4 linked regions of the Mytilus edulis genome follow. The main gene of each other region encodes a partner of the protein of the gene in region 2 in a complex. Links are inferred from orthologs where the notes say so. Each region holds a gene or a part of one and is shown on either strand. Other genes may lie near its edges. The genes, in order: cyclin-dependent kinase 8-like, mediator of RNA polymerase II transcription subunit 4-like, mediator of RNA polymerase II transcription subunit 21-like and mediator of RNA polymerase II transcription subunit 31-B-like.

Region 1 (7,435 bases), on a different chromosome or scaffold from region 2:
CGAAGCTACACAATCATATCAATAAAAATTGGTGTAAATGATCTTTACTATGCCTAGAATAAAATGTGTGAATATGTTCCCTGTCGAATAGACTCGGGGGCGGATCCAGCCATTCTAAAAAGGGTGGGTTCCTAACCCAGGACAAACGGGGGGGGGGGGGGGGGTCCAATTACATGTCCCCATTCAAATGCATTGATCGTCCTAAAAAAAGGGGGGTTCCACCCCCCGGAACCCCCCCCCCCCCCTCTGGATCCGCGCCTGAGACTTTACAATAGTTACCGACCAGAGTTCAGAGTTTCAAATGACACTATGATTATCCTGAACATGCATGACACATTCGCCACCGGACGCAATAAATACGTCCATGCACCCAGATTCGACGAAAGAATCGGTTGGTAAGAAACCGTACGCATTTAGTTGTACTTATACCGAGTGTTTTCTATAAAAAAAAATAGCTCTATGTGTACAGTTCTTTTTTTCTAAATGCTATCTTATATATGCTTACAAGTTGTTTTTTTAAACTTTTCTATCATCTCAACAGCTGCTTTCATGTGTACCAGGCTACTTTTCCCCAACCTTCTTCTCGGAAGGCGGCCTACTTAACAGGACCTGCCCACTATATGTATGGTTGATTTGTAAACGTCCCAGCTGTACCTGCTTGAAATATTTGTCACTGAATGTTAAGTGTATTAGACAGTTGCCCATGGAAGGTGTTTGCCACATGCAAAACTGTTTGATATTGGTCAAACATTGCTATCTGATCATTGTGAACTTTTTTCAAACATTTAACAAACGAAGCTACACAATCATATCAATAAAAATTGGTGTAAATGATCTTTACTATGCCTAGAATAAAATGTGTGAATATGTTCCCTGTCGAATAGACTCGGGGGCGGATCCAGCCATTCTAAAAAGGGTGGGTTCCTAACCCAGGGCAAAGGGGGGGTCCAATTACATGTCCCCATTCAAATGCATTGATCGTCCTAAAAAAAAGGGGGGTTCCACCCCCCGGAACCCCCCCCCCCCCCCTCTGGATCCGCGCCTGAGACTTTACAATAGTTACCGACCAGAGTTCAGAGTTTCAAATGACACTATGATTATCCTGAACATGCATGACACATTCGCCACCGGACGCAATAAATACGTCCATGCACCCAGATTCGACGAAAGAATCGGTTGGTAAGAAACCGTACGCATTTAGTTGTACTAATACCGAGTGTTTTCTATAAAAAAAAAAATAGCTCTATGTGTACAGTTCTTTTTTTCTAAATGCTATCTTATATATGCTTACAAGTTGTTTTTTTAAACTTTTCTATCATCTCAACAGCTGCTTTCATGTGTACCAGGCTACTTTTCCCCAACCTTCTTCTCGGAAGGCGGCCTACTTAACAGGACCTGCCCACTATATGTATGGTTGATTTGTAAACGTCCCAGCTGTACCTGCTTGAAATATTTGTCACTGAATGTTAAGTGTATTAGACAGTTGCCCATGGAAGGTGTTTGCCACATGCAAAACTGTTTGATATTGGTCAAACATTGCTATCTGATCATTTGTTAGAGACCTGTTTTATCGGTATTTGCTTCAGTGATAAAATTGAGAATGGAAATGGGGAATGTGTCAAAGAGACAACAACCCGACCAAATAAAAAACAACAGTAGAGGGTCACCAACAGGTCTTCAATGTAGCGAGAAATTTCCGCACCCGGAGGCGTCCTTCAGCTGGCCCCTAAACAAATATATACTAGTCCAGTGATAATGAACGCCATACTAATTTCCAAATTGTACACAAGGAACTAAAATTAAAATAATACAAGACTAACAAAGGCCAGAGGCTCCTGGCTTGGGACAGGCGCAAAAATGCGGCGGGGTTAAACATGTTTGTGAGATCTCAACCCTCCCCCTATACCTCTAACCAATGTAGAAAAGTAAACGCATAACAATACGCACATTAAAAATCAGTTCAAGAGAAGTCCGAGTCTGATGTCAGAAGATGTAACCAAAGAAAATAAAAAAAATGACAATAATACATAAATAAAAACAGACTACTAGCAGTTAACTGACATGCCAGCTCCAGACTTCAATTAAACTGACTGAAAGATTATGATTTCATCATATGAACATCAGGCACAATCCTTCCCGTTAGGGGTTTAGTATCATACCATCATAACATATATGAGAAGAACATAACCCGTGTCATGCCAACAACTGTTTTTAGAATAAATGTGTTTAGTTCCGATGCAAAGACCTTATCAGTGACTCAATATTAACTCCAAAATATGCAATCTTTAATGACTTGACAACAGTATCGTAATTATATCCCTTCTTAATAAGTCTATTCAAAGGTTTTGTAAGTTTCTGAGGTTAATACTGACACCTTTGTGCTTTATAAAGAATATTTCCATAAAAAATTGGATGTGAAATACCTGAACGTATTAGAAGTCTGCATGTTGAGCTATATTTACGAATGATGTCTTTATACCGATGATAAAATTTAGTAAATGTTTTGACTAGTTTGTGATATCGAAAACCCTGGTGTAATAGTTTTTCAGTAATACATAAATTTCTCTCGTTAAAATCTAAAACATTGTTACATACACGAGCGAATCGTACAAGTTGAGATATATAAACACCGTAAGATGGTGACAAGGGAACGTCACCATCTAAAAACGGATAATTAACGATAGGAAATGAAAAATCATCCCTTCTATCATAAATTTTAGTATTCAGCTTTCCATTAGTGATATAGATATCAAGATGAATGACTGGGGTACTATGGATGGGATTATCCTCACTTTCTGTATCCTATTAATTGTTTGGTTATTTTTCTGTATTCTTTTCTTCAGTTTGCTCATTATTCTTTATTCTATATGGTTTTGCAACGGCAGGGTATGGGCTCGGGAACATGTTACTTCGTTGCTCATTATTCTTTATTCTATATGGTTTTGCAACGGCAGGGTATGGGCTCGGGAACATGTTACTTCGTTATGTGTGTATTTTAGTCTAGACGCCATGCATCTAATTAACTATCGAGTTGACCTCCGGAGACCTCAGACCGATATAAACATAATATAGATATAGATAGAAACTAGCTCGTGCATTTGTATTTTTCTAGGTCTCTTTAACTTAATATTGTACATTAAAAATATATGTTAATCATCGTTTTATATTTGTACGGTACCTGTATAAAAAGGATATTTTGTGGATCGAATCAGTCAACGTCAAATGGTCAGTTTACTTTTGTTTCACTTTCAACGTTGGCATTATTTTCCTTTAAATACTCAAAACGCACAATTTATGCGTTATCCATCTCTAGCTGAAGTTCACATAAATACGGATTCCGTGAATGAAGTCGAATTATTCCATGACTTTGGCAACGGCTGAGATAAACAAGATAATTATTCATCATCAATGTTTCTCAGCTTATTTTGACAAAATTGAAACATACTGGCCGCTAAAGGCGAATTATTATTTCACTATTAAAATGATTAATTGAACAAAAATAAATCATATTTTTTTTTTTATATATATCTCGTAGCTATAGTGTTCCTAACTCGAATAATTCAAGCCCTTTCCGTGTCCGATTTTCTCCCACACGAGGGCTTGAACTCTTTGTGATCATTGGCCGCGTCGCCTGCTCTCTGTGAGAGAGAGCCAATCAGCGGCGATCAGGATATGAGTCTGCGCAACTCTCTTGAAATTGCCTTACCACACACGTGTGTTCAATTAACACAAATCCGATAATAATTAATTAACATCAATTAACATCATTTATCATCAATTAACATCCGGAACTCCTCCTTCTTTAGCTGCCAATTTAAATAAAAATTCCCATATTGCAAAGCGGTGTGGATTTTCCGGTTGACGGTCTTGATCGAGGAAGACGTTCAGGCGTTAATGTAGCCTTCGTAGATCAGCGGAATATAACGACTGAATTATTCGGGTTATAGTGTTCCTTTAAATAAACTCATCATAGATACCAGGACTAAATTTAGTATATACGCCAGACGCGCGTTTCGTCTACAAAAGACTCATCAGTGACGCTCGAATCCAAAAAAGTTAAAAAAAAAAAAAAAAAAAAAAAAAAGGCCAAATATTATAAACATGATAAAGTACGAAGTTGAAGAGCATTGAGGACCGAAATTCATAAAAGTTTTGCCAAATACAGCTAAAGGTAATCTATGCCTGAGGTAGAAAAGCCTTAGTACAAAAATTCCAAAAATTGTAAACAGTAAATTTATAAATATAACCATATCAATGACAATTCATGTCAGCACAAAAAGTACTGACTACTGGGCTTGTGATACACTCGGAGAAATAAATCTCCACCAGCAGTGGCGTTGCCAGTGTTGAAAACCCGGAATAGTTGAGTGGTTCCGTGAATGTTCTGTAATTAGATCGTATTGATCATCAACACGCTTTTAACAACGGAATTTTATTTATTAAGCATCTTTAGGAAAATAAATATTTTGGAGCCGTCAAAGAAATGGATTTTGAATATAAGCAGAAAACCAATGCAGAAAGAGCAAAAGTCGAGGACCTTTTCGATTACGAAGGATGCAAAGTTGGACGAGGAACATATGGACATGTGTATAAAGGCAAAAGGAAGAACAGGTTAAAGTGTGTTTGAAGCATATGTCTCGCACACTAAATCGTCGATTTTATATTTTTTAAGAGTTATTTCTTTATTTCTTAGCAGTCTGCACGGTTAGCCACTAGTCCGATACCCCAGACTAGTAAAATTTTATTCGGACTAGTAAGTTTTGCAAAAATTTGTTTGGACCAACAAGAAAAATGTCAGGATATTGGTCTTCGGACTAGTAGTTGAAAAAGTTTTTGGTGCAGACTGTCTTAGTATTTCTTGCCATCACGCATTATAGACGTATAGATAAATTCATAATACGTGTCTTTTTTTGAAGAATGATAAGAATTCCTTATTGTTTTTCTATTTTTGTACAATTATTTGAGTATTGACTATATGTCAATGGCAATCTACATTTGTACAATGTCATGAATGTATATAAATTTAATGATTTGTTATGTTATATGTCTATGATCAGGTGTGGTACCTTCATGACAAATAACGGTAATAGTTCTTGACAAATGTTGTAAACTGTAAAATGATAATAAAATATATATATATGGACTTTCTTTTAGTCGATAAAAACATCGAAAGATTTTGACAAATCATTAATCACGTTAAATTTTTCCAAAAATAAAAGTAACATTTTATAATTATAAAAAGACCTCTGACAAATCAGGATAAGAGGATTTTGACAAATCACTGTAAAATTTCAATCACTTTGACACTAATTTACAGACAGTAAAGGGCATTTATTATTACCCTCATGACAGTCATCAGATTATATACAATATATTCAAAGATTTGTATAGTAAACTATACTAATCTTTGATGTAGCTGTAGAACCGTAGCTCTTTTAAATATAAAAAAAGAAGATGTGGTATGATTGCCAATGAAACAACTCTCCACAAGAGACCAAAATGACACAGAAATTACAGACTATACAGTCTTCAACAATGAACAAAGCCCATACCACATAGTCAGCTTTAAAAGACTCCGAAATAACAATGTAAAACAATTCAAATTTACAAATTGTAGACCATCCATCTTAAAATTGTTTAAAAATATCAAAAAGATATTAGAGAAGGTCGTAAAGGGGGTACATTTTTACCTTATTGGTGAATAACAGTAAAAAAAAATTGCCAAATGATGTCAACAGTAATGTTTGATGCATGACAATCAAAAATATGCTTTCTTTAAGACAATAAAAAAAAATGACTGATTTTGATAAATTACATTAAATTTAGATACTATCTTATTTACATGTAGGATCTTTGACGTATCATGATAGGGATGATTTGACAAATTATGGTAAAAGTTTATCAATTTGACAAATGATGGTAAACTTTTTACCAATTTGACAAATGATGGTAAAAGTTTATCAATTTGACAAATGATGGTAAAAGTTTATCAATTTGACTCTAAAGGTAGCTGAAAGTGACTGTTTGACACCTGACTTTAGAGGGCATTCCTACCCTCTTAAGATTACGGTTCCACATCTATGAGATAATTATTGTGAAATTGTTGTGTAGTTTGAGTACAGGGAACATTGTATTTATAATATACATTTGTACCTTAATGAAACAATTTTACAATAACTTCCCATTAGAGATTGTATGTACATGTACAAAAAAAATGTATATGAAACCGTACACCCTTAAAAATTACAATTTATCATTCAATTGAATGCAATGTGTTTTCAGGTCAACTTTCAATTACATGTTAATGTAATTTGATTAAATTTTACATTTGGAGAAATGTGTGTTTTTCCAAAATTGTTTCAATTAGGCCAACTCAATGTCGCCTCTCAGAAACTATTTATGATTATCAAATGATTATTGAATAAAACTTCACACACAAGATGACAGGTGTATCATGTGCTCGTGGAGCAGCTGTTTATTTTTTTCTTATCATAACTTCCAGTCTGTGCCAAACTGTTTTAGGGTTTGTCTGACTGAAAAAGAAATTTGAATTTTTCTTCTATATATATTCAACCAAAATCTCCAAAAAATTCTGTCTGACCGAATGATTTCTTGTCTGACATTTTGTTGGATAGACAGAGTTTGGGATACACTGAACTTCACATATTCAGCTAATTTTTAGCATGTATAAGTCTATTTATTCAACATGCAGAAATCTTATACATTCGGGTATATCATTTTAATTTTTTATGGTAATATTTTTTATAAAGCACAAAAATATCAGCATTCATCTCAAAAGCTTACCAAAAAATTAAATTTTTACAATTTCTAAAAATGACTTCTTGATTTTTTTGCGAACAGGCCCATATGTGTCATTCAAATACATCTAGTCTTTGCTACGTACTATACTATGAGTGAGAATGTTGTATGAGATTTTATTACATATTGAAGGATTTAAAAAAAACCACTAAATTTAATATCATTTGTGTGGTTGAGAGAAAAACTTCTGCAATGTTCATGTTTTTAGGTATAAATTTTGAAATAGCTTTTTCGGATCCAAAGTATTTCTCTGATTTGAATTTCAGCACTGATGGAAGAGAATATGCCTTAAAGCAGATAGAAGGTACAGGAATTTCTATGTCAGCATGTAGAGAAATAGCTGTAAGTATAATGCTAGTTTCCACTATATATCTACTGTACACAATCTATTAGGGAAGTTATTTCTTTCCTGAACTTCATAGCAGAATCTATAATGATCCAGAGGCGGATTAAGAGCAAGGCCATTCTTTTTATGGAAAAAACTTGGTGGATAATATAGGGAATCACTGAAGCATCAAAATCTATTCAAAAGAGAAAACTAACAGCCTGATATTTAATACAAAAATAAATGTTATTGACAATTATTGCAAAAATTAAGCACCTACAACCACTGGAT
Region 2 (7,139 bases):
ACCTAACACTAAAGGGAGATAACTCTGTAAAATCAGCAGAACGTTTTAATGACGTTGCGTTCATATGGGAATATTAAGCTTCTCATTGATCAAAATAAGTGTTTGTCAAACTGCTATATAACCAGTGTAATTTTTCTGATTAAACGGTTGGTTCAAATTTTTTGAATTTCTTATATTTTTGTCAAAGGGTCAAAGTAAACACTTTGTCAAAATTTAAAGAAAATTAAACGAGCCAAATTAATTTTAGTTAAAGTGTTAGGTACCTCCTTAAATGAAACAGTTAAAGTTATTATTTATAAATGATCAAATTGTTCATCCAATAATAACAATATTGTAATGTTTTTAATTTAAAACTTTCTTAAATCTTTTAAATTATTGGTTAATTGGTACGCTCAGTGACAGCTTTAATGTTTTTATGACAACTAATGACAGTTAATAAAAAGTAATTATGGTACGTGTAAAGTGATTAAGTTGATTAATGACACATGACCTATGGCACACGACCTAAAAATAATTATTTTCTACTTTTTTCTCACTTTAACATGCCAATGCATAACCCTCCTCCTTTTTCACCCAGACTTGGGACCGGCGTTGACGGAGTTAAAGTTTTTATTTGATTTTTTTATAACTCTTATTTTACTCTATTCCTTTTACTTTCTCTCAGAGACATCACTATGTTGTTCTTTGATTGCATGTTATACTGGCATAAAGCCTTATTTTTCATCTGAAAAACCCTGGTATAAACATGAAACAAGTCTTAGTTGACCAGAGCAGCAGCAGCAGTTGGTCCATATACAAAAAACAAGAAACATGAAAGAAACAACTTATGATAGAAAAAAAAATATTAATATAAGAAAGTCGGCAACATAAAGATGAGTGGTGTAAGTATTGGAGACATCAAAGCACGTGGCAGAAGACTAAATACTTTGACAAAGACGGGGTACATCTAAATGATGGACAATTTAAATTCTTCTGTTCTATCGCATGTGTGCAAAACTGTAATTGTAAAGTGTAAAATTATGTGCAATCAATTATTTAATAAATAAATATAGATATATATGTACATCAATAGGTCTTTTCATTATTTTTTTAGTAACCTACGACTCATATTATTATATATTTGTAGGACTCTAAAGTGCGATGGTACTCTAAAGTACGATGGTCACGCTAAAGTGCGATGGTCTACGCTAAAGTGCATTGGTGTCAGACGCTAAAGTGCAATGGTTGTTTGTTTTTAAATGAGATCAGATGACATGCTAAAGTGCGATGGTATGCCACGCTAAAGTGCGATGGTGTAACTGGAATGGTGTTCAGGCAATGTCTTTTGTTTTTTGCGGTGTTAATATTAGTTTTTGTATATTGTTTATAAATTATGCCGTTGTTTTTCTCTTTTGAATTGTTGTACACGAGTTATTGTGTGGTTTATATAACTAGCTATTCGACTAGAGCCGATACTCCACGCCTTGGATCATAAGTTATTAAGTGCGCACATCTGCAACATTTTGTGTTTGGTGAATAATTGTTTCATTGGCATCTTCTTATTTGTTTTTTTGTTTGTTAATTGATTTTTTTCTGTATAAATCAGTCCGTTATTTTTCTCATATCAATTATTTTGCAATGGTCGTTCTGAAAACCTTTAGTCATAAATCTACTATTTATCTGCTGGGTTAGCCATACGATTCCAGTTTAGATCTAGACTTGTGTCATCGGCAATCATATGATGATACTTCATAACTGCTTGGTATGTCACTATCTTGTTGATGAATATCCATCTCTTTCACAGACATGACAATACATATTGTACAAAAATATTCAGGTTATAGAATAACTCAATTAGAAATTTAAAAAGTAGCTTTTATTCCAAGCAAGTTCGATTATAAACATAGAAGGAGTTTCTAAATTAAATTTGAACGAATTGAAATACTTTGACACTTGGTGTATTTTGACTTTTTCTCTCTTTTACGGTAAGCACCTTCCCCTTACTGTCATCAGTTTTCTATGTTGATGGGAAAACACAGCGAGTTGAAAGGTTTTGTACGGTGGGTGATTTTGTTGGAAAAAAATCCTCTGCATACAGTCTTCTATATCACCTACTAAAAGTGTTTTGTTTCATTTATATCTCTTTTTTTTTGTCTTGTAAAAAACCTTCATAGGGAGCCACAAATATTCTTGTTTACCGGCATGTCAATTTTTGTATGTTCAAATTGGCTTCAAGCGTCATAATGCAAACATTCACACTTTCGCGAACAAACACGCATTCATGGAAAAATGCACTTTATCGTGTCATGGCATCGCACTTTAGCGTACACCATCGTACTTTAGCGTGACCATCGCACTTAAGCGTCCCCATCGCACTTTAGAGTCCTACATATTGATATAACAGTTTTCTTAGGTTACAAAACATCACAGGTACTAAACAACCTAGTAAGTTAGGAATCGACTAGTTACGAAACCGTCAAAGAAAAAAAATATAATAGCCTTTCAAGACGTCATAATTATTAGGACTACAAAACGACCTGCATCCTTCACAACATCTGATTAGTAAATAAAATAATTAAATGTCTACAGTATGTGGTAAAATCAAGGATTTATATAATAAAGATCAGCAATATCCTTGTTAAAATTGGTAACCCTTTCACTTTTTCCCCTCCACTTTTATTGTTTTAATATAATTAGTGCAGACAGAAAAGACAATAACAGTCATGGCAGTTTTCCAGGTTTCACAAGTTGGGTAGGAAAAAAAACTAAAGTTGTCATTTTTATATGGTCTAGACCATGCATTTCATTTGGTGTTTCAAATATGTGAAATGACAGTAATACTATTAGTGAAATTACTTAGATATCAACTCAACATCATCAATTTGTTGTAAAAGTTTTTGTTTGGTGCTGATGGAGGAAGCCATGCTGAATTATTCGACCAATAAATTATGCTGATAGAGTAGGAAACATTTATGAACCAATCGAATACACTTTCACATACAAGAAAAGGAAACCGGAAGTGAATGTCAATAAAATCAAAACAAACTCATCATGAACAACAAATTTGATGCGTACGTAAAACATGCATACATTCATAATTGACCAATTATATTTAAAGATCTTTAAGTAAATCGCATGACACCTAGCCAATCCATTGACACATTTTTCCGTAGGGTCAATTTTTGTTCGGCAAAAGGCATAATTTTGACGTCATCAATTTGCCCAAACACGTGCAACTTATGAATAGTCACCAAGTCCAAGATGAACAGGTTACATTTATTAGCGAAACTAATGAAAACTGCAATTATTATTTTTCTTTAAGGTATCATAAAATCCGACCATGGTACTTTTGTTTCTTCGTGTGTATAATTTAAAAAAAAAAAGTCAACTTTGAATCAAAAATATGTGTCAACAGCTGTTTAGACCAGACCTAGACTTTACAGTATCCTGATAAGCTAGCACTGTACATTTACATTACTGTTACAATGAATGAAATTGTAGGACAGCCTTTCAAGCTGAGATAAATCCAGTGCTTTGTCAGACATGTACAATGTACAACAAGCCCAAGTTTGTCGAAGTAAGGCGTCAAATAAAAATAATATAATAGCCTTTCAAGACGTCATAATTATTTGGACTAAAGTTTTGCATGATACATTGTGTCATTAATTATGCCTGTGTCACCATAAAGTGCATTTCAGAATTAATGTTGTGTGTTTCATGTCGCGATGAATATTTTAGAAAACATTTTAAAAATTTTGAGATGTCATATCTGTCACTATGACATTGTATGACAACACATCGTTTGTATTCAATTTCAGATGAATTATACATATATAATATGCTATAAGTATAATTATTCAAGTAGTACAAGTTTGAAATAATTCTTTTGTTTATAGCTTGAAAACTTTCTTTGTCATACATGTATATACAAATGAAGCATACATAGAGTGGGGTGCTCGTTTTCGCCGGGGACACAATTTCGCCGTTTAATGATTTTGAGGTGTAAAAACTTCAAAGGATGGCTGAAATGGAAGAAATGTACCCGTAAATTATATTTTTATAACAAATATAATATTTTTTTAAACTGAGACAAAATTGCGGCTCCTACCGAAAATGACCGAAAAACGGACAACGATTTTCGGACAATTTATATTTCCTGAATAAAACACGATTTCAAAGAAGTATTTCTAAGTAAATATTTGACTGAATGCCCTAATTTTGAATTCTTTATACCTTTGAAATGTCTGCTGTTCATCTATAATGCAATTGATTTGATAAAAATTGTTAAAAGCTGCGGTTATTTGGTTTTAAATAGATGTGTAAAAACGGCGAATATGTGTCCCCCATTGACAAAACATCCGGAAATTTCAAACACCCTTTAATCTAACTTTTCAGATGATTTTTTAAAAACAAACCGGTTTTCAACATGTTCAAGCTTAAGTTTATTTTGCATTTGAAGTTATCTGCATATAGAAATATCAGTATACTTCAAAAACATTTAGACCTGAACATAAACTGTAGAAAACATGGAAAGATGTGGCGAAAATGAGCACCCCACTCTATATGTCTTTAGAACATGTAGAATGGTCTGTCGACAAAGGACATCTATAGATAACATATTTCCCTAGTGCAGCAAAAGTGTTAATGAAATAAATTTAACTTATCTAAATAATTTAGAGATGCGGAGTAGATAGCAATTAGACCGCAACCTAGCGACAAAAATAATCAACACCTAGAGATCTCTGTACAGTGATCAACCATAGCATTAATAGCCCAATGCCAAGTTTTTATTTTTTAAGCTGTGAATAAATTTATAAAAAGAAACTATCAAAGATATGCCATCAAAACAAATTGTTATAATATATACGAGACTTATAATGGTTTACTTTTTTTTAATTGTTATTTGGATGGAGAGTTGTCTCATTGGCACTCACACCACATGTACATCTTCCTATATCTACTAAGAAAAAAAACACAAATATTTTACATAGGACAATCACATTCTCAATTATGGGCTTTAACATTGATATGTGGTGAGTCAATCTTGTATTTTTTGGAATAACACCAGTTAATGGATCTTACATTTTTGTCAGTGGGTGAATACACCTTATCGCTTATCCCGGCTGACCCGGCCGCTTGAACTTTTGACGCATACAACAATCACTTTTCCATTGTGGCGTCAGATATTTTGTTTTTGTGACGTCAAAAATTTACGGGAACCTGTGTGATATCCAGTAATGGCGGACAAATAGCGATAAGGTGTATAATTACACTAACAATTTCAACTCCAACTTACTACATGTATCATTATAAAGAGGCTGAGCATGTCAAGTACAAATGTATAAAGGATGAGTGTAGATATATATATCAACAGCAGGCTTATTTATTTCTGAATGCACTTTTGTCAATTTTGTTACAGTCTTTTGTTGAGATGTATTGTAGTTATGCCATATTTGTGTTTAGAAACTGATTTTGAAATACATAGTAAAAGTATGATACATGAGTGGTGGCTTTCCATTTTGACTTAATTTGTTTATTGTAGATTAAAACAAGAGGATAGCGGTGAGGATGATCAAACAGAACAGAAAAATGAACAAGAAGAAACAGATTCTCCATTTAAAGTTCGACCTTCACCAGTAAGTCTTCAAAAGATAGTTTATGACAACGATTGGAATGTTACCATGGTTACATTTTGACAATTTGATAAAATTTATATTTTATAAAGAGAGACAAATCAGATTATGGTCTCTTCTTAAAAAAAAATGTCCAGCTAAACAACATTAGTAAATTGTTTTAAACAAACAAACAAAAACTCAATTGAACAGAAAGAAATTTTTTGACTTTTTTTTTTAAATGATTTGTGTCATAATTTTTTTTTTATCCAGTTTCAGTACATTTTATTAAGTATATGTATGCATAGTTGATGTAAGATGAATAGTTGTGATATTTATAATTTGAATTTGAATGGGAAACTCTGTCAGACTGGTTTAATCAAAATAACAGCATACATGTATATATATCTATGAATGATGGATTTTCTTTCAGAGACCAGGGCCTGGAGAACACCCATTACAGTTTAACTACGCAATATGGTTTTCTCGGAAATCGCAAGGAAAATCTTCTGCAAGTTATGATCAGAATTTAAAGTTAGTTGGGACATTTGCATCAGTAAGTTAACATCTTTAAAACAATGCAGCACTATTTTACTGCTATTATTGTAGGTATTGGCGTATAAAATAATCATTACCATATTAATAGAAATACCTAGATTTATTTTCAGCAGTATGAAAATAAGGACATCAGTGTTTTCCTTTTTTCACTAAGGTAAGGTGGGTGTTTTAAAAAAATAACTTGCAACCGGGTGGGTTTTTTTTTAAATGTCCAACCTTTTTTAATTTACTGTGGGTGCACGTGGGGGTCACAGAAATAAAGATTAGTATAATATTCACATTTTATGGAGTTGAACAAACATAAATAGAGGTAGTCATATAAATGTCCAATATTCTTTGATTTTATTTTTTCAAAAATTTATCTCTTTTATCTCTTCTTTCATTTACAATTTTATGCATCAGCATGGATTTAAGGCCTTTCGATCCAGGTTTCTGTTCTGTTTCTTGCTTTTGTGCCGTATTTTTGGCACAAAGAACAGTAGTATCCTTCCTCTGTGACTATAAGTCATTTGAAGTCTTGCTCATATTTGTCTTCACTTGCGTGTCTTTTCCGTTGTTTGGTTGATTTTTTTTCAATTTCCACAACTTCAACGTTACTATCAATTTTATTTAACTTATTTGGTCTAGTATTTTCTTTATCATCATCGTCATCTTCCTTTCTTTTCCCCCCGATTGATTAATGAAAACATTGAAATTTGACGATTGGACGCCATCTTTGTCAATGAAAACAAGGCGGGATTAGTTTTCAAATTTTAACGGTACGGAACCGAAAAAAATCCGGATTTTGAAAAAAAAGCCGACCACCTCCTAAAATTGAAAGGTGGTCGGCTTTCAAAAGAAGGTGGTTGGCACACCCTGCTTAAATGCCGAATGGAAAACACTGGACATGTGGTAATTGCCTATGAGACAACAATCAACCAGGGAACAAAGGATGAGTTTGTAAATAACTATAGGTCACCATATCCTGTAGGAAGCTATAAAAAGGCCCTG
Region 3 (7,498 bases), on a different chromosome or scaffold from region 2:
TGTTGTAAAATTCCTACACTGTTGCAAAAATGATCAGCCATCTGCAAATAGAAAATTTTCATAAATATTTAATGCAAATTTAGAATTTTTTTTTATATCTAATACAAAGAAAAAAAACAGAGTTCCAATTTCCACTGAGTTGCAGATATTTTATCTGAAAAAAACAACACTTTTGTTTATTCAAACTTTTCACAAATATTTTAACATTTGATATAATTTTGATAAAAATCTGGCAAATGTTATTCACATAAGGGCACCTACAATCGATTTTTCCATTTAATTATTAAGAAAGTCAAATGAAGTGGATGTAAGCAATTATAGGCAACCTACAGCCGTCAACAATGAGAACCAGATGCTCCGCAGGGCGCAGCTATATACGACCGCAGAGGTTGAACCCTGAACAGTTGGGGCAAGTATGGACACAACATTTAAGCTGGATTCAGCTCTTAATTTGGATTGTGATTAAATAGTTGACACAGCATAGGTTTCTGACACAGAATGAATGTGGTCTAATGAACTTAAAATATTTTTTTTGCCTTTGAGCAATTCACTATGCTGTTGAATATTAATCCTCTCAAAAAAATGTTTGAAGAAATTTTCTTTTTATTTATGAAATCTGAAATGAGAAAAATTTACCCCCCCCCCCCCCCCAATTTTTTTTTCACATCCCCCTTTCCCTTTTTCCAAAACTGATCTCAATTCAAATTCCTAATGAAGTTTGCAACAATAACTACTCATTTAAATACATCATAAAATATTAAAATGTAAAATAAAGTGCTTGTTATCACTGAATGGTAAAGATTGTTTTAATTTATCAGTTGGTAGTAAAAGTGAATATACATTGTATATTGTATAAAACAATGATTTAAGTTGATTCAACTACTATTCTGGACAAAGAAAGATAACTCCAATCAATTGAAAATTTCTTGCTATTGCACAATATTGTGCAATTAGATATTTCTTGCTATTGCGCAATACTGTGCAATTGAAAATATTTGCTATTGCACAAATTGACAATACTGTGCAATTGAAGATTTCTTGCTATTGCGCAAAACTGTGCAATTGAAGATTTCTTGCTATTGCTGAATACTGTGCAATTGAAAATTTCTTGCTATTGCACAATACTTCATATAATAGTTTTGGATCCTGATTTGAACCAACTTGAAAACTATAATTAAAAATCTAAGTACATGTTTAGATTCCGCATATCAAAAAAGCTCAAGAATTCAATTTTGGACCCTTTGGACCTTAATGAAGACCAATTTGAAAACGGGACCAAAAATTAAGAATCTACATACACAGTTAGATTCGGCATATCAAAGAACCCCAATTATTCAATTTTTGATGAAATCAAACAAAGTTCAATTTTGGACCCTTTGGGCCCCTTAATTCCTAAACTGTTAGGATCAAACCTCCAAAAATGAAACCCAACCTTCCTTTTATGGTCACAAACCTTGTGTTTAAATTTCATAGATTTCTATTTACTTATACTAAAGTTATGGTGCGAAAACCAAGAATAATGCTTATTTGGCCCCCTTTTTGGCCCCTAATTCCTAAACTGTTGGGACCAAAACTCCCAAAATCAATCCCAACCTTCCTTTTGTGTTCATAAAACTTGTGTTTAAATTTCATTGATTTCTATTTACTTATACTAAAGTTATTGTACGAAAACCAAGAATAATGCTTATTTGGGCCCTTTTTTGGCCCCTAATTCCTAAACTGTTGGGATCAATCCCAACCTTCATTTTGTGGTCATAAACCTTGTGTCAAAATTTCATAGATTTCAATTTACGTAAACTAAAGTTATAGTGCGAAAACCAAGAAAATGCTTATTTGGGCCCTTTTTGGCCCCTAATTCCTAAAATATTGGGACCAAAACTTTCAAAATCAATCCCAACCTTCCTTTTGTGGTAATAAACCTTGTGTTAAAATTTCATAGATTTCTATTCACTTTTACAAAAGTTAGAGTGTGAAAACTAAAAGTATTCGGACGAAGACGACGATGCAAGACGACGACGCCAACGTGATAGCAATATACGACGAAAAATTAAAATTTTTGCGGTCGTATAAAAACCCATACTGTGTGGTCGTCTACAAAAGGTCCTGACTTGAAAAATATGAAGCAAATCAATTGAGAAGAATAATAGCTTAATTTACAATAAAACAGTTTACGAAAAACAAATATGACAGAGGTACATTTTGATAGACTCTAACAAAGCTGATAACCAGTTGGTGCATCCTAGTCTTATGAGTCTTTGTGCTATTAAAATTGCAATGTGACGTAACAATTTCCAAATAAAAGGCATACCTAGTTCAAATTCTTTTGACGTTTGTACAATGTACAAATACATATGATAGCATGTTTATCTATTGTCTTAAAAAATCATAATATCTAATAAAATTAGTAGGTTTAGCTAACAAAGTCCTTATATTTGAATAAAGTAACATTCATTTTTAGTGGAAAATTGTTTTAACGTTAATTAAGCTATAATTATAGATAATCGGTCAACGATAAACTTTTTATCGCTATTTTACCTATGACGACGTTGTCAATTTCATGTCAATTTCATTAGCAAAGCCACGTGCATGCTTAGTTTCTAGCGATAATTTTCCATCTCAAGCGAGTAGCATACATTACATGTACATATGGTAATCTTTGCATTTGAAGCACGTCTTATTTTCTTCTACCTATAGGATAATACTTTCATATTAATATGTTTATACCAACACGATTAATCATTTGATACAAAAAGGTATTCTTCATGATGAACCACCGGTGTTACTATTTGCCGGGTTTACTATCCCATGTGAATGAACATTAACGTTAAACTAAAATTATCTGTTTCGTTTTACTTGATTTACAGCATCCTGTAGCTGTGTCAGTCTGTCTGCCATTTCAAATCTGCCACAAGTTTAGTATAAATCCTATATAAGCATTATTTGTGTTAACTGGATACAAAAGTGTCAAAATTTCTAGCAATAGCAGTTTAAACCTTGACCTTTTACAAAGGGCTGAGTAATAACCAACAAATATCTTCATACAACATTGTACAACAATTAACGTTATTTACACTTTATACAGAATAGTAGACTATTCACCGGGCTTGTAATAACATAAGGTAGCAATAAACAGTTAGGAAAAAATACTAAAATTTGCCCTTATGAATTTTACCATCCCCTTTTCATTGCTTTCTTGCAATATCAAGCTTACTGTTTGTGTCATATATGGGCATATGTATGTAATCAGAACCTTCCATAGATTATATATCCAGTATATAAAATGGTAAAATATATTTTCTTTTTGGTGTATCCATGGCAACAATCTGCATTTATTTGTTATAAAATATTGCAAAAAGGGGGGGAAAGATGTCACATATTTCCCCAAAATTTGGCTAAAAGTAGAATTTCAATCACTTGAAGTAGTACCTTTTCTGAAACTGTGTACATATATCATTCAGCAAATCCAATGAAAATCATATGTCTTTCGTCTCATTTTTTTGTAAAATTGCGTCAAAAACTTCGTGTAGAAAAACAGTGTTTGTAAACAGTACATTAATTTCTGGACCGATGGCCGGTCTAGCTATGAAAATACGGATTGTCAAACAGAAAACAGCCCATAAAACATGTAAAAAATAATCTTGATGGTCTTATAAACCATCTTTGAAGGCTAAATTAGCACTCATCTGTCTAAAAATGAATTTTATTACACAATAACTTTCCTATTTGAAAAATTCACAGGGGCCAAAATGCGAAACTAAACTCCTAACTGTGTATTGCTACCTAATCAACACGACGGGTGCCACATATACAGCAGGATCTGCTTACCCTTCCGGAGCACCTAAGATCACCCCCCAGTTTTGGTGGGGTTTCGTGTAACTTATTCTTAAGTTTTATTACTAAATATAGTACATGTGAACAATTTTCTTCATTTTCTTCAAAAATCATAATGTTTTCGTCTATTTATATACCATTCTACATCAGAAATGCATGGCATAGACAGTGAAAATGGTATTTTAGTATCCGCACTTTACATACACTGGTCTAATTACTTACTTAAAAAAAAACCGAGCATAAAAATGTACGTTCCTTCTCTATTAACTAATGTATTCAGCATTGGATTTTAGTTGTACCAAGCTTTCTTTATTACCCAGAAACCAAAGCTCTTCCTTTCAACCATTTTACTTGATCAAAGAAGTTGTTCACAGTTTCGTGTCTGAAAGACTTAAAAGTATACATGAATATTTCTTCTTAACAAACTGAAAAACATTTAGGTCATGAGAAAACTAAAAATTCTACACATTTTAGCAATTCAAAAACACCACAGCTCTTCTGAAAAGTTTTACCATATCATTTTTGGTTGACCACGTGGTTGTAAAATATTTCATCCTTTGGCATTGAAACACGTGCAAGTCTATAAACTGATTTGGCCTGTTTTTCGTTAGTCTGAAATATGTGTTAGCAGGGAAAGGGGACAAAGTGTTTGCATTTATTTTTTTTCTTCAAAATTCAAGCATGAAAAAAATATTCATCTTCGTATTGACTAATTTGCGGTCTCGCTAATTAGTAATTAGCAACAAGAAGAAAAAAATTAACGACAAAAAAATTTATTTACTTGAAAAAAAAAAAAAGATTTTTAAGAAAAAAAAACAAACGTCTTTTTAAAATTTATGCGAAGGGTCTATAGACTTCAGACTTGTTAAATAGAAAAAATGGCAGATAAATTTAAATAATGAACCCCACTTTTTTATCAATAATGTAAATAGTTGAACCTTTCGTCTTGATAAGAAAAAAATTGTGCCTAATAATGGTGTAGTTTTTCGAGTGCCCTTTCTCTTCCTTCTACAATAATGAATAAATTAATCATCATGTGTTCTTTAGGTAAATGTACCAAGTATAGTCGCATTTGTCATCTATTCTTATGATTATCTAGTTAGGTTTATTTTGGGAGAAAAACGAATATAAAGATATCTGGACATTATTTCTGTCATCAGACCAACTTTAAAGTCATACAAGACTCGAGCTTCCGGTTTTCACCTTGAATATAATTTTCATAAGAATACTCTAGGACAGGACAATAATTTTTGTGTTGATAGAGGCTCTCATTATAATATAAAAGTGATTGCCGTGGAGAAGAAACTTGGAAGTTGTTAGTGAATAGCAAATATACTTTATTTATGTTCCAGATCATACAAGTATTTGGACTGCAATTGTACGGTCCAGTAAGAGCTGGATCATAAATGCATTTGGATTAGTATGGGTTTATTTTAGGCGAACTAATCTTTTATTGACTTTTAACAAATAAATATTATTACAATTAAATGAATAAAGTGAATAAGCGAACATTTAATTGATTGAAATTAAGTATTTATTTAATTGTCTATATAAATCCCTATTTTGGTACACTTGCCATGGGTGACACTTGCTGCCACAAGGAATGTCAGATGCTTAAGATGCAAAATTTGCATGATAGTTTTTACAAACATGCATCTTACCAATAAAATCATCAACCCTACATAAGGCCACTTTTTTTTTATTTGTTGTTTTACGGATCCGCCAACCCTGTTTTTCACAATATCAAAATAAAAATAAAAACGATTTTGAAGATTTTTTTGTAATTCCGCCGACCCTTTTCTGTTTGAAGAAGTACAAATAAAAATAAAACATGATAAGAAAGATCAGTCTTTCTTCTTCCAGTCGGAATACCCTCGGAGTGGATTCGAAAATCCCTTGCGGTTCCCTGTTCAGTCAACGTTTCATCATGATCTAATGTGGTGAAAAGGAACCAGTTGAAAGGCGGTTCCCTGTTCAGTCAACGTTTCATCATGATCTAATGAGGTGAAAAGGAACCAGTTGAAAACGGAGGACCAGATACGATTTTACAAATACTTACACATTAATTGTTGGATATTTTCGGTGTAAATCTAGCGGTTGAACAAAATGAACATCGCAGTCATGAATAATAAAAATGATAATTATTTTTGAGATCGTTAGGGAATTTTGGTTTAATTGGACCACCGCTAATTTGAACCCCTGTTTCAGACAGTCAGTGAGGTTGACGGTGGGTCAACTTTGGTTCAAGTGTTGATCAGAAAGTCTGAAACCTATTGAAAGGGGCTGTTTTAGTTCCATTACACATATGAGGTACTAGTCCAAATAATTATGACGTCTGGCAAGGCTTCATGGCATCCCAGATTTGTTTTTATATAGCCTTGCCAGACATCACTAAAGGGAAGGATCTTTTAACTTGCTGCCAGGGATGGGTGTCTGATTAATTGGCCTTATTATATAAATACCTAAATACCCTCCCACGGTACCCATTGAGATTTAATGGAACAGAGGTGGGATATGGTGAACAAGATCCCAACACAAAATGAGAACATGTATTACTGTCATAGAATGCCTGACAATTAAAATCACTTCGACATTTATGAAAAGGGACAATCACAGGATACTTCGAAATATAAGCTAATACTTATTAAACAGTGTAAAATAGCATAAAAAGCCTTAAAAGGACATGTTTTCATGTACATGTACCACATATGAAGGCATATGACATGCAGAGCACATATGGTATTTCCTCAATAAGATTGTATTGTGTTATGAGGAATTTTGTCACTCCCTGATCTAAATTTGATAAATAAATACACAGAACAAAGAGAAATGCAATTGGAAAAGACGCTTCCCTTTCATCAGGGACATATATATATATATCTGCTTTCATCAATCTACATTGACATTAGCTGCGGAACTGTAGCTCTTAGGTCCTTATGTTATTTTTTGACTATTTGCGGACCATAGAGCTACGGATTTTTCCTATTTCAAAACGTTCGGAATTGCGACCCAGGTTCAGGTCCCACTTTTTTCTCCAAAAAATATTGTTTATAATCCATGCAAAACTTGTCAATATATGTATAGTTCGTTTCGTTAGATATTTTTACAACGAGATTCAATATGGTCGAATAAAATAGGCGGAGAATGTATACAAATGGAAATAATTAGATAATAGTGTTAAGGAAATGAATATTCAAACATAAATAGGTACGTCATATCCTAGAAAAATATCTAACGAATCGAACTATATATATTGACAAGTTTTGCATGGATTATATATAAACAATATTTTTTTGAGAAATAAGTGCGACCTGAACCTGGGTCGCAATTCCGAACGTTTTGAAATAGGAAAAATCCGTAGCTCTATGGTCCGCAAATAGTCAAAAAATAACATAAGGACCTAAGAGCTACGGTTCCGCAACTACATTGACATTGGACTCCTTGTAACACATTTAATTTAAATTAAAACACTTTAACAGCAAGAATTAATACCAAATTATGAAACGATCTGCATACATGGTTAGTATAATACTATTATATAGAGTAATGTCATTGTTTGTTTCTCTCCTTTTTTGGTAAAAAAAACCAGTATTAATTCCAATTTTTATTTTTAATTTTTTTTCGACCTCCTACCCTATATTTTTTCATTATTTTTATTTTTAATTTT
Region 4 (7,958 bases), on a different chromosome or scaffold from region 2:
AACATTCAAATTGTTGCTTAGCAACAACCCACACACAAAAGCAATAACATCAGCTGTTTTATCTTTGATATCCATGGCAACACCGTGATAATCTTTACTTGTCAACAATGTTAAGGCCACAGCTAAACCAGGCATTGTGCAATGTTCAACCTGAATTAAAAAAATATCACTGAGCTTCAGTAAGAGGTTATCTCAAAATGTGAACTGAGATTTAGTAGGAGGTTATCTCAAAATGTAAAGAAAGCTTTAGTAAGAGGTTATCTCAAAATGTATTCAGAGCTTTAGTAGAAGGTTATCTCAAAATATGAACAGAGCTTAATTAAGGGGTTATCTCAAAATATATCTAGATAATCTCTATCCAACATGTCCTTTTTGTCAACAGTAAAAAAAAAATCTATTTTTTATGATTTTGCTTGACACAATTTTCATGCTTCATGGTCAACTGTTTAAATCATCAATATGTAAGCAATTTTTACAGTAGACCTTATACAAGATACAATCAAACACTCAATATATCCTTAGTATAGACAGACAGATAACCTACACAAAGAGCCCTTATGTTTAACATTTCTCCAGGATTCATGGTACACAGATTCAACAAGACTTCCATTCTCCTTCTTCCACTCATTGATTCTTCGTCTTGTGTTTCTCCATTGGCCACCAGACTGGTACATACTACAAGAAAGGAATGGTAGAAATTGCTAATCGCACAAATGTCAATTAATGTTAAAAGATGTTTTAATTTTATTTGTTAACCACATTTTTGTATTTCTAAGTGTTATAATATACACTTAATTCTAAACATCATTTAATATTGATTGTCGTTTGAAACTCAGTGCTGTTCATATAGTGAATCTAAAAATATTTTCTTAGCTAAGAATTTTTTTTATCTAAAATTAGTTCTATGCTTTCAAAATCAATCTTTAAATAAATGAATAATTACAACAGTAAATGCATAAGACTTCTCCAACTCAAATTAAATCAAATGACTTGCGTCGGAAAGAATTTGATCTTATGCAAATGAATATCAATTCATCTGTTTACATATTTCAGGTTGAAAAAGTTTCTATGCAAATTATTATATCTGTAAAGGTTTAAAAATTGATTTGATATAAGAACCCCACAAAACAAACATTAATTCTATCTTTTATTTCATATTTCAATTTTCCAAAATCAATAAAAGTTTCATACAGGTACATGTTTACATGCAATTGCATAAGGTAGATTTCTGCCTGAGCAGCTTCAAATGTACCTTCTTTAAAGCTGTCTGGAGAGTTAGCCACCAGACGACACAACAACCAGCCTCCATTTGGTAAGTGTAACAATGTCTCAGCTACGTCTTTTATTTGAAGTAATGTAGGAAGCTCTACAAATATACAAAAAATTATTCTCTATTATCATTCTTATTTTGGTATTTGCAGTTCTTCAACAAGCAATGTACCTGCATTTGCTAAAAACAAGATATAAATCTATACTTCACTTGGAGTTGGATATTTTTGTGATTTTACTTTTTGTTACTTTTTTTTTTACATTTCATCTCATTATTTCTAATATGTAACACTTCTGTACTCGTACTCTGAAAAACAATTTATTACTGCTTACAACTATTCTATGTTTCATTTAATGTCATTTTGTCCCAGGTAAGGGTTGACTTATTGACATCTTCTTTATTACTAACTGTAAAGTCTGTGTTATACAGGGACCTATGTTTTAATATTGTATTTTTATTGTGTGAGGGTGTGTCAAAGATCAAACTAATTTGTTCAGTAAAATTGAGAATGGAAATGGTGAATGTGCCGAAGAGACAACAACCCGACCAGAGGGGAAACAACAGCTGAAGGTCACCAACAGGTCTTCAATGCAACCAGAAATTCTCGCACCCGGAGGCTTCCTTCAGCTGGCCCCTAAACAAATATATACTGGTTCAGTTCAGTGTATGCTTACTTGTTTTTGTTTAAATGTCTTTTTGATCAATTAAAGTCATTTCAATTGAATATTTTATAGCGTCCTTTTATGTTGTAATGTTACAAAATTGTCTCAGACAAGGGTGAAGGTTGGCACCAGTTTAAACATTTAAACATATTGCATTTTCAAGCACCTGTTTTTAGTCAGGAGTCTGTTGTTCAGTGGTTGTTGTGTGCCGTTGTGTTTCAAAGGTGTTTCTCCTTTCTCTTTTTAATATAAATCATAGTTGGTTTTCCTGTTTAAATTGTTTTACACTGGTCATTTTGGGGCCCTTAAATCTAAAATTTGCTGTTCAGAGTGAGCTAAGGTTCTGTATTTAAGGCTGTACTAAGACCTTAAATTGTACTTTTTAAACATTATGTCTTGGAAGGAGAGTTGTCTCATTTGCACTCATACCACATCTTCTTATCTCTATTACATAGATATAAAAAGAATTGGTATGAGTGCCAATAAGACAACTCTCCTTCCAAGTCACAATTTATAAAAGTAAGCCATAAGGTCAAAGTATGGTTTACAACGTTAATGTATATTACCTGCTTGTGCTATACACAATACATCAGATACTTCTTCAAGGTAAACAATGCTCTCCAGTAATTCTGATGACTTGAAATAAAATTCTGCCTTGTTTTCTTTCATCTGAAGCAATATAATATTGACATTGTAATAAAAGTATAATTTTTTTCATTATAAACGCTGGTTGCCAAACACAATAACATAGATCATGTAGATCTACTCTCATCATCATTTTTGAAGCAGAAACTAAACAAATCTGGTTTATATAGAAACTGCATTGTATTTCTTTATAAAACATAATTTAATTTTGGATGTAACGTGTCTTCTGATTGGCTGACGTTATTTTGTTATCAGCCCATAGACATAATTTAGTCATGTGATTGTGACGTCATCAACGTTTTTTCATGGTTTTCTACAGTTTAAAATGGAATTTAGAATTAAATTATAAGAAATGACTGTAATATTTTTTCTGTCTATTCGAAATAACCTAAAAAATGTGGTGCACACTGTTAAATAACCTGCTACGCGCGTTATTCAGTGTGTACCACATTTTTTATGTTATTTCTTCATAGACAGAAAAAATATTACAGTCATTCCTTAAATGTTAAAAATTGACAGTCTTCAACCCTCACTCAACAGTATATACTGGTATACTGCATATTCTTTATTATTCATTAAATACCATTTTTTGTGGATTTCGTGGGTACAGTTGAACTATGAAATTAAATTTTGTAAGAATGATAAATGTTCTTTATGCTTGTATGCAGACTTCGACAATACCATGAATTTTTAAAAACATCCACAAGTTTTCGTTAATGCATGAAAATTGATACCTCCCTCTGATTCTCATACATAATGTTGTTACTTAATTAAAACTTTTGATGTCTTTAATGAAGTTGAATATTCACAATAGAATAACATTGAAAATTCAATGTTGATTGTTTAACATGCTCAATTTACAAATGATAAGATAATTAACCTGTGATGCTACAAAGAGAAGTTCACTTAATAGCAGACGAATTCTACGAGCATGGTCACTTCTTTCAAACTCCATAGCAAGCCCACACTGTAACTGAGATATCAGGACACTGTCAGTCTGTGATGTACCAATCTTTGTCCTGCAAGGAATAAGGTAAAAAATTTAAGATTATTATCAAGGAAAAAAACAAATATGTCATCACTTCTGAAGGTATGGAGAGTTAATCTGGAAAACAATTTGCTCATCAATACTTACATGTACAATAACTCTTTTATCATGTTTATTGTGGGGACAAAAACTCCAATTGCAGCAGGAAAATCAATAATAAAAAAACATCAATGTACCTATGAACTCAAAATCATGAACTTTTTATTTTCCCGCATTTGTGCAGAAATGTCTTTCTTTCTTCTGGTCTCAATATTGTCATGAGACTGAATAAAATATACATGTATGTTAATTCATTTATTGTTATTGAGGAACATGAGGAAGGAGCAGAATAACAATTTTGTTTTTATTAATTCTTTGTATACAATGAAAATGAAGTCATAACTTAAATGATGCACAACTAAAATCCCTAACAGGGTTCTCGCTAAGGATTTTTGAAGGCGAGTCCAGGGACTCGTCATTTTTGGCCATGGTGAGTCCAACAGCAAGAAGAATATATTTTATTGCAATATAATGTAATATTTTATCCTCCATGGCCTAACAGAGCAATGAAATGACATTAAATTCAGATTACTTTTAAAACTTTTGCTATAAAATGATGATCATGATGATATTTGTGTTTTACTGTGTTCAATTTATACAAAATATTTCAATATTGATGCATCTTTGGACTCACTAGTTTTGAGAATGGTGAGTCCAAACAGATTTTGATGAGTCTAGGACTCATGGACTCGCTTTAGCGAGAACCCTGCCTAACAACAGGACCAACATAGGAAACTGTAAGATATTTTCGTTTCTTTTTGAACAGATTTTTAAATATGTTTGAAATAAAAAAAAATGATTAACTTTATCCTCTTTCACGGGTAATGCCTGCCTCATATTATTGCAACGTGATTGTAGCCAGTGCCTTACTCAGTAACTCACTACTGTTTTTAGGGGTGTACCTGAGCTGTTGTTCTTTTTTAACGTCTTGTTCTAAAGCATGGAAATCAATAGATAGCAATGCCACAATGCCATTCACAACTTCTATCCCAGATAAGATTTTTAAGACTTCTTTTTTAGCTTTTGTCCAGTTGGAGCTCTCATCAAGTGGTTTACACAAAGCCATTCTAACAAGACATGGAAGAACTGGACGCAAATCAAATTCCTTCGAATCACTCAGTGAAGAGATGTCAACATCTCGTACTGCTCTGAAGATTTCGGGTTTAACACTACACTTTAGATTCTGCATTGTTATTGCTAAACCTAAAAAAATGTAAAGGATTTACAAAAATTTTAAAAGTCAAAATTTTTTCATGGGGGCAGCCATTTTGCTTTCTCAACGTCAGTCTGACGCTTTGTTGTAATTGCGTTTCTTACAAGCGCGAAGAAGACATAGATCATATTTTTGTTATGGCTGCAGCTGCAAGACAGAATTCCTCCCATGGTAAAATAAGTGCTAATGTTGCTCTAGATAACAACAGACCCCAAAATAAATAGTTCCCCTCTAACCTTATAGTTCTGTCATGCATATTGTTGTTCATAAATACTTATCAATGCCAGAACAATATGAAAAGCAGTTTGAAGTGGATACAAAGCTTTTCACAACTCAAACAGCAAAAATACATTAATTCATTCAATAAATATATTTTATGACCCTGCCATAAGGTGGCTAAGGCTGTATAGTTCTACCCTTATCTGCCATTTGGTCATTCTACTACAAACAGTTATACACATACATGGGTCCAGCCTTTCTCCTAAACACCAAATAATTGGTCAGATCATATGTTATTGTATTCATATATGAGGGTGGTAATGGGGATACCTTCATGACGAATAACGATAAAATTCTAGCCAAATTTAAACGTAAAAGGTAATTTTAGATGCATGACGATATTAAAATGTATACTTTCTTTTAGGGGATAAAAAAATCGACTGATTTTGACGAATCACGTTAAATTTTTCTCAAAAATGACGGTAAGGATAATCATTTGACACCATTGACGAATCACGGTTCACCATAAGGATATTTTGACGATTCACTGTAAAATTTTAACCAATTTGACGCTAACGGTAGCTGGAATTGAACATTTGACGCCTGATGGTAAAGGCCATTACTACCCTTATATGTAGTTTTTCTTACAAGGAGAGACAAGATGGAATAGAACGTAAATTATAGCAAGATCAGCTGAGCAAGATGTTTCCAGAAAGAAATTTTTTTATAAATGGGGTCATGAGGATTGACATGATTGAATTTACAAAGAATGGAAATCATCTTTTGGGGAAAACACTGAATATCATTAAGAATGCTGTATCTTTTAAATAAAAAATAATTTCTTTTTCAGAAGCAGATGAAAGAGTGAGATTTCAGACAGAGTTAGAATTTGTACAATGTTTGGCTAATCCGAATTACCTTAATTGTGAGTATACAATGACAGTAAAAAACCAATTCTAATTGAGAATGTGTCTTTGGGACAGATGATGCCCCATACTTGCATATAACATTGTAAAGTGACATACATCCACAACTGTTAAAGTGACAACACCTATATTCTTAAGTTAGAGAACGGAAACAAACTTAGGTATGTATCGATGAGCAAGGGCAACACTGAATGTCAAATGTAAAACCTTTTTAGGTTGGATGACATCTACTGTTAATATTAATTTGTAACTGTTAATATTCTATGTTAGATGCTCAGTCATTTGCAACAAAACTGCCCAGATGACAATAATTAGATATCTCAAAAGTTTATTTTTAACATGAAGATATATTTTTTTATATTACATGAAGGAATACACACTGACGATTTGCCACTGATTTAAATACATGTAATACAAGCTTGGCTACAATTTGAAAAAAGTTTGTTTGCATAGCAAAAGAACTTTTGTCCTGCAATGTACGTGCCACCAAAACTGGCAAAGACCCCTTAAAGAGTCATGAGAGTTGTTACAAGAATTCTTTAATTTTCAGTTATTATTTTCTCTCCCAATATGAGCCATGTAATTTTTTTATCATTGATTTATTAAGATTGCAATTGCATATTTTATCCTTGTTATGTGTTGTGTGAACAGTTTTAAGTTAACAGAGCTGTAAAAATATACTGTTCAATTTTATTTTTTTATAGTTTTAGCACAGAGAGGATTCTTCAAAGATCAGACATTTATCAACTACCTTAAATACCTGCAATACTGGAAAGAACCTAAATATGCTAAATACCTCAAGTAAGTTTGTACAAAAATGTACAATAGTGAATTTTTGTAGGAATCTTGTTATACTGTAGATTCATTTATTTTTGTGTATTCCAATTTTTGTGGATTTTTATGTGTTCCAATTTTTGTGGATTTTTTTATGTGTTCCAATTTTTGTGGATTAAGAAAATCTTGCATTTTCGTGGCTATTTGATATCGTGATTTTGCCAATACAATGTACATCCTTATACATGTTATAGAAAATCTGTAATTCTTTGAACATTTATACTTGTGGTTTATCTGTACCCACGAAATCTTCAAAAATTAGTACCCCACAAAAAAACAATATATCCACAGTAGTAGATATTTTACGAAAAAAAAAATAATTATAAATTCAACAGAAAAAAATTGTTCTCATTATGACCTGACATTTACTTGCTCAATGCAGGATATGAATGAGATTTTCATTTCCAGAAGTTGACAGATATGCCTTGTACAGTACACACAAGGAGTTGCAAATTCTTTATGACGTTATGTTAAATGTTCATGTTACAAGTTGACAAATAAACACTGTATGAGTTATGATACACCAAGCAATATCTGCTTTAAAGATTAAGACTTTCCCATTGTATAACTAGTTTGTAATTATCTCTTGCAATATTTAATTTGTTTTCATTATTTTTATTTCATTTTCAGATATCCCCAATGTTTACATTTATTGGAGCTGCTACAATATGAACACTTTAGAAAAGAATTAGTGAATTCACAATGTGCTAAGTTTATAGACGATCAGCAACTCTTACATTGGCAGCATTATCAGAGGAAACGCATGAAGTTATTGATCGATGAAGCGGAACGACACAAACAAGATCAAAAAGATAAAACTAGCTGACACAGCAATAATAAATGTGTTGATTTAAAATTAATCGGTCAGAGATATTCTCTGAATTGTAATGGCAGCTATGTGGATGGTCAAAATTATTGTCATCTCTTAAACATCCAAAACGAACATTTTTATGTGTAAAATTTTTCCGAGGTTGATACTTGTCATAGACGTAACATGTACATGATGTATTTAGCAGGAAATTTTTTCATCTCTGTTCATAGTTTTTAGGCAGTTTTATAAACTGTATAAAATAAAGAGATGTTGTATAGAGATATTGTATTT

What was found.
Region 1: mediator of RNA polymerase II transcription subunit 4-like (region 2) and cyclin-dependent kinase 8-like share a complex: the UniProt entries of both Caenorhabditis elegans proteins name them as parts of the mediator complex. The link is inferred for Mytilus edulis from reciprocal best matches to the Caenorhabditis elegans genes mdt-4 and cdk-8.
Region 3: mediator of RNA polymerase II transcription subunit 4-like (region 2) and mediator of RNA polymerase II transcription subunit 21-like share a complex: the UniProt entries of both Caenorhabditis elegans proteins name them as parts of the mediator complex. The link is inferred for Mytilus edulis from reciprocal best matches to the Caenorhabditis elegans genes mdt-4 and mdt-21.
Region 4: mediator of RNA polymerase II transcription subunit 4-like (region 2) and mediator of RNA polymerase II transcription subunit 31-B-like share a complex: the UniProt entries of both Caenorhabditis elegans proteins name them as parts of the mediator complex. The link is inferred for Mytilus edulis from reciprocal best matches to the Caenorhabditis elegans genes mdt-4 and mdt-31.

Annotation. Positions count from the first base shown.
Region 1 is NC_092353.1:33,985,330-33,992,764, forward strand, and holds the start of cyclin-dependent kinase 8-like, read left to right. Parts: upstream 1-4,414; 5' UTR 4,415-4,483; coding exon 4,484-4,617; intron 4,618-7,085; coding exon 7,086-7,161; intron 7,162-7,435. UniProt on the Caenorhabditis elegans protein: Component of the Mediator complex, a coactivator involved in regulated gene transcription of nearly all RNA polymerase II-dependent genes.
Region 2 is NC_092346.1:52,328,803-52,335,941, forward strand, and holds the start of mediator of RNA polymerase II transcription subunit 4-like, read right to left. Parts: upstream 3,005-7,139; 5' UTR 2,904-3,004; coding exon 2,836-2,903; intron 1-2,835. Other genes in the region: eukaryotic translation initiation factor 4E type 2-like, read left to right, coding at 3,031-3,050, 5,522-5,615, 6,025-6,147. UniProt on the Caenorhabditis elegans protein: Component of the Mediator complex, a coactivator involved in the regulated transcription of nearly all RNA polymerase II-dependent genes.
Region 3 is NC_092349.1:41,335,552-41,343,049, reverse strand, and holds the start of mediator of RNA polymerase II transcription subunit 21-like, read right to left. Parts: upstream 3,022-7,498; 5' UTR 2,896-3,021; coding exon 2,854-2,895; intron 42-2,853; coding exon 1-41. UniProt on the Caenorhabditis elegans protein: Component of the Mediator complex, a coactivator involved in the regulated transcription of nearly all RNA polymerase II-dependent genes.
Region 4 is NC_092349.1:27,276,517-27,284,474, forward strand, and holds mediator of RNA polymerase II transcription subunit 31-B-like, read left to right. Parts: upstream 1-4,944; 5' UTR 4,945-5,014; coding exon 5,015-5,048; intron 5,049-5,946; coding exon 5,947-6,021; intron 6,022-6,726; coding exon 6,727-6,823; intron 6,824-7,486; coding exon 7,487-7,682; 3' UTR 7,683-7,948; downstream 7,949-7,958. Other genes in the region: integrator complex subunit 2-like, read right to left, coding at 1-150, 545-675, 1,253-1,366, 2,499-2,601, 3,458-3,596, 4,567-4,853. UniProt on the Caenorhabditis elegans protein: Component of the Mediator complex, a coactivator involved in the regulated transcription of nearly all RNA polymerase II-dependent genes.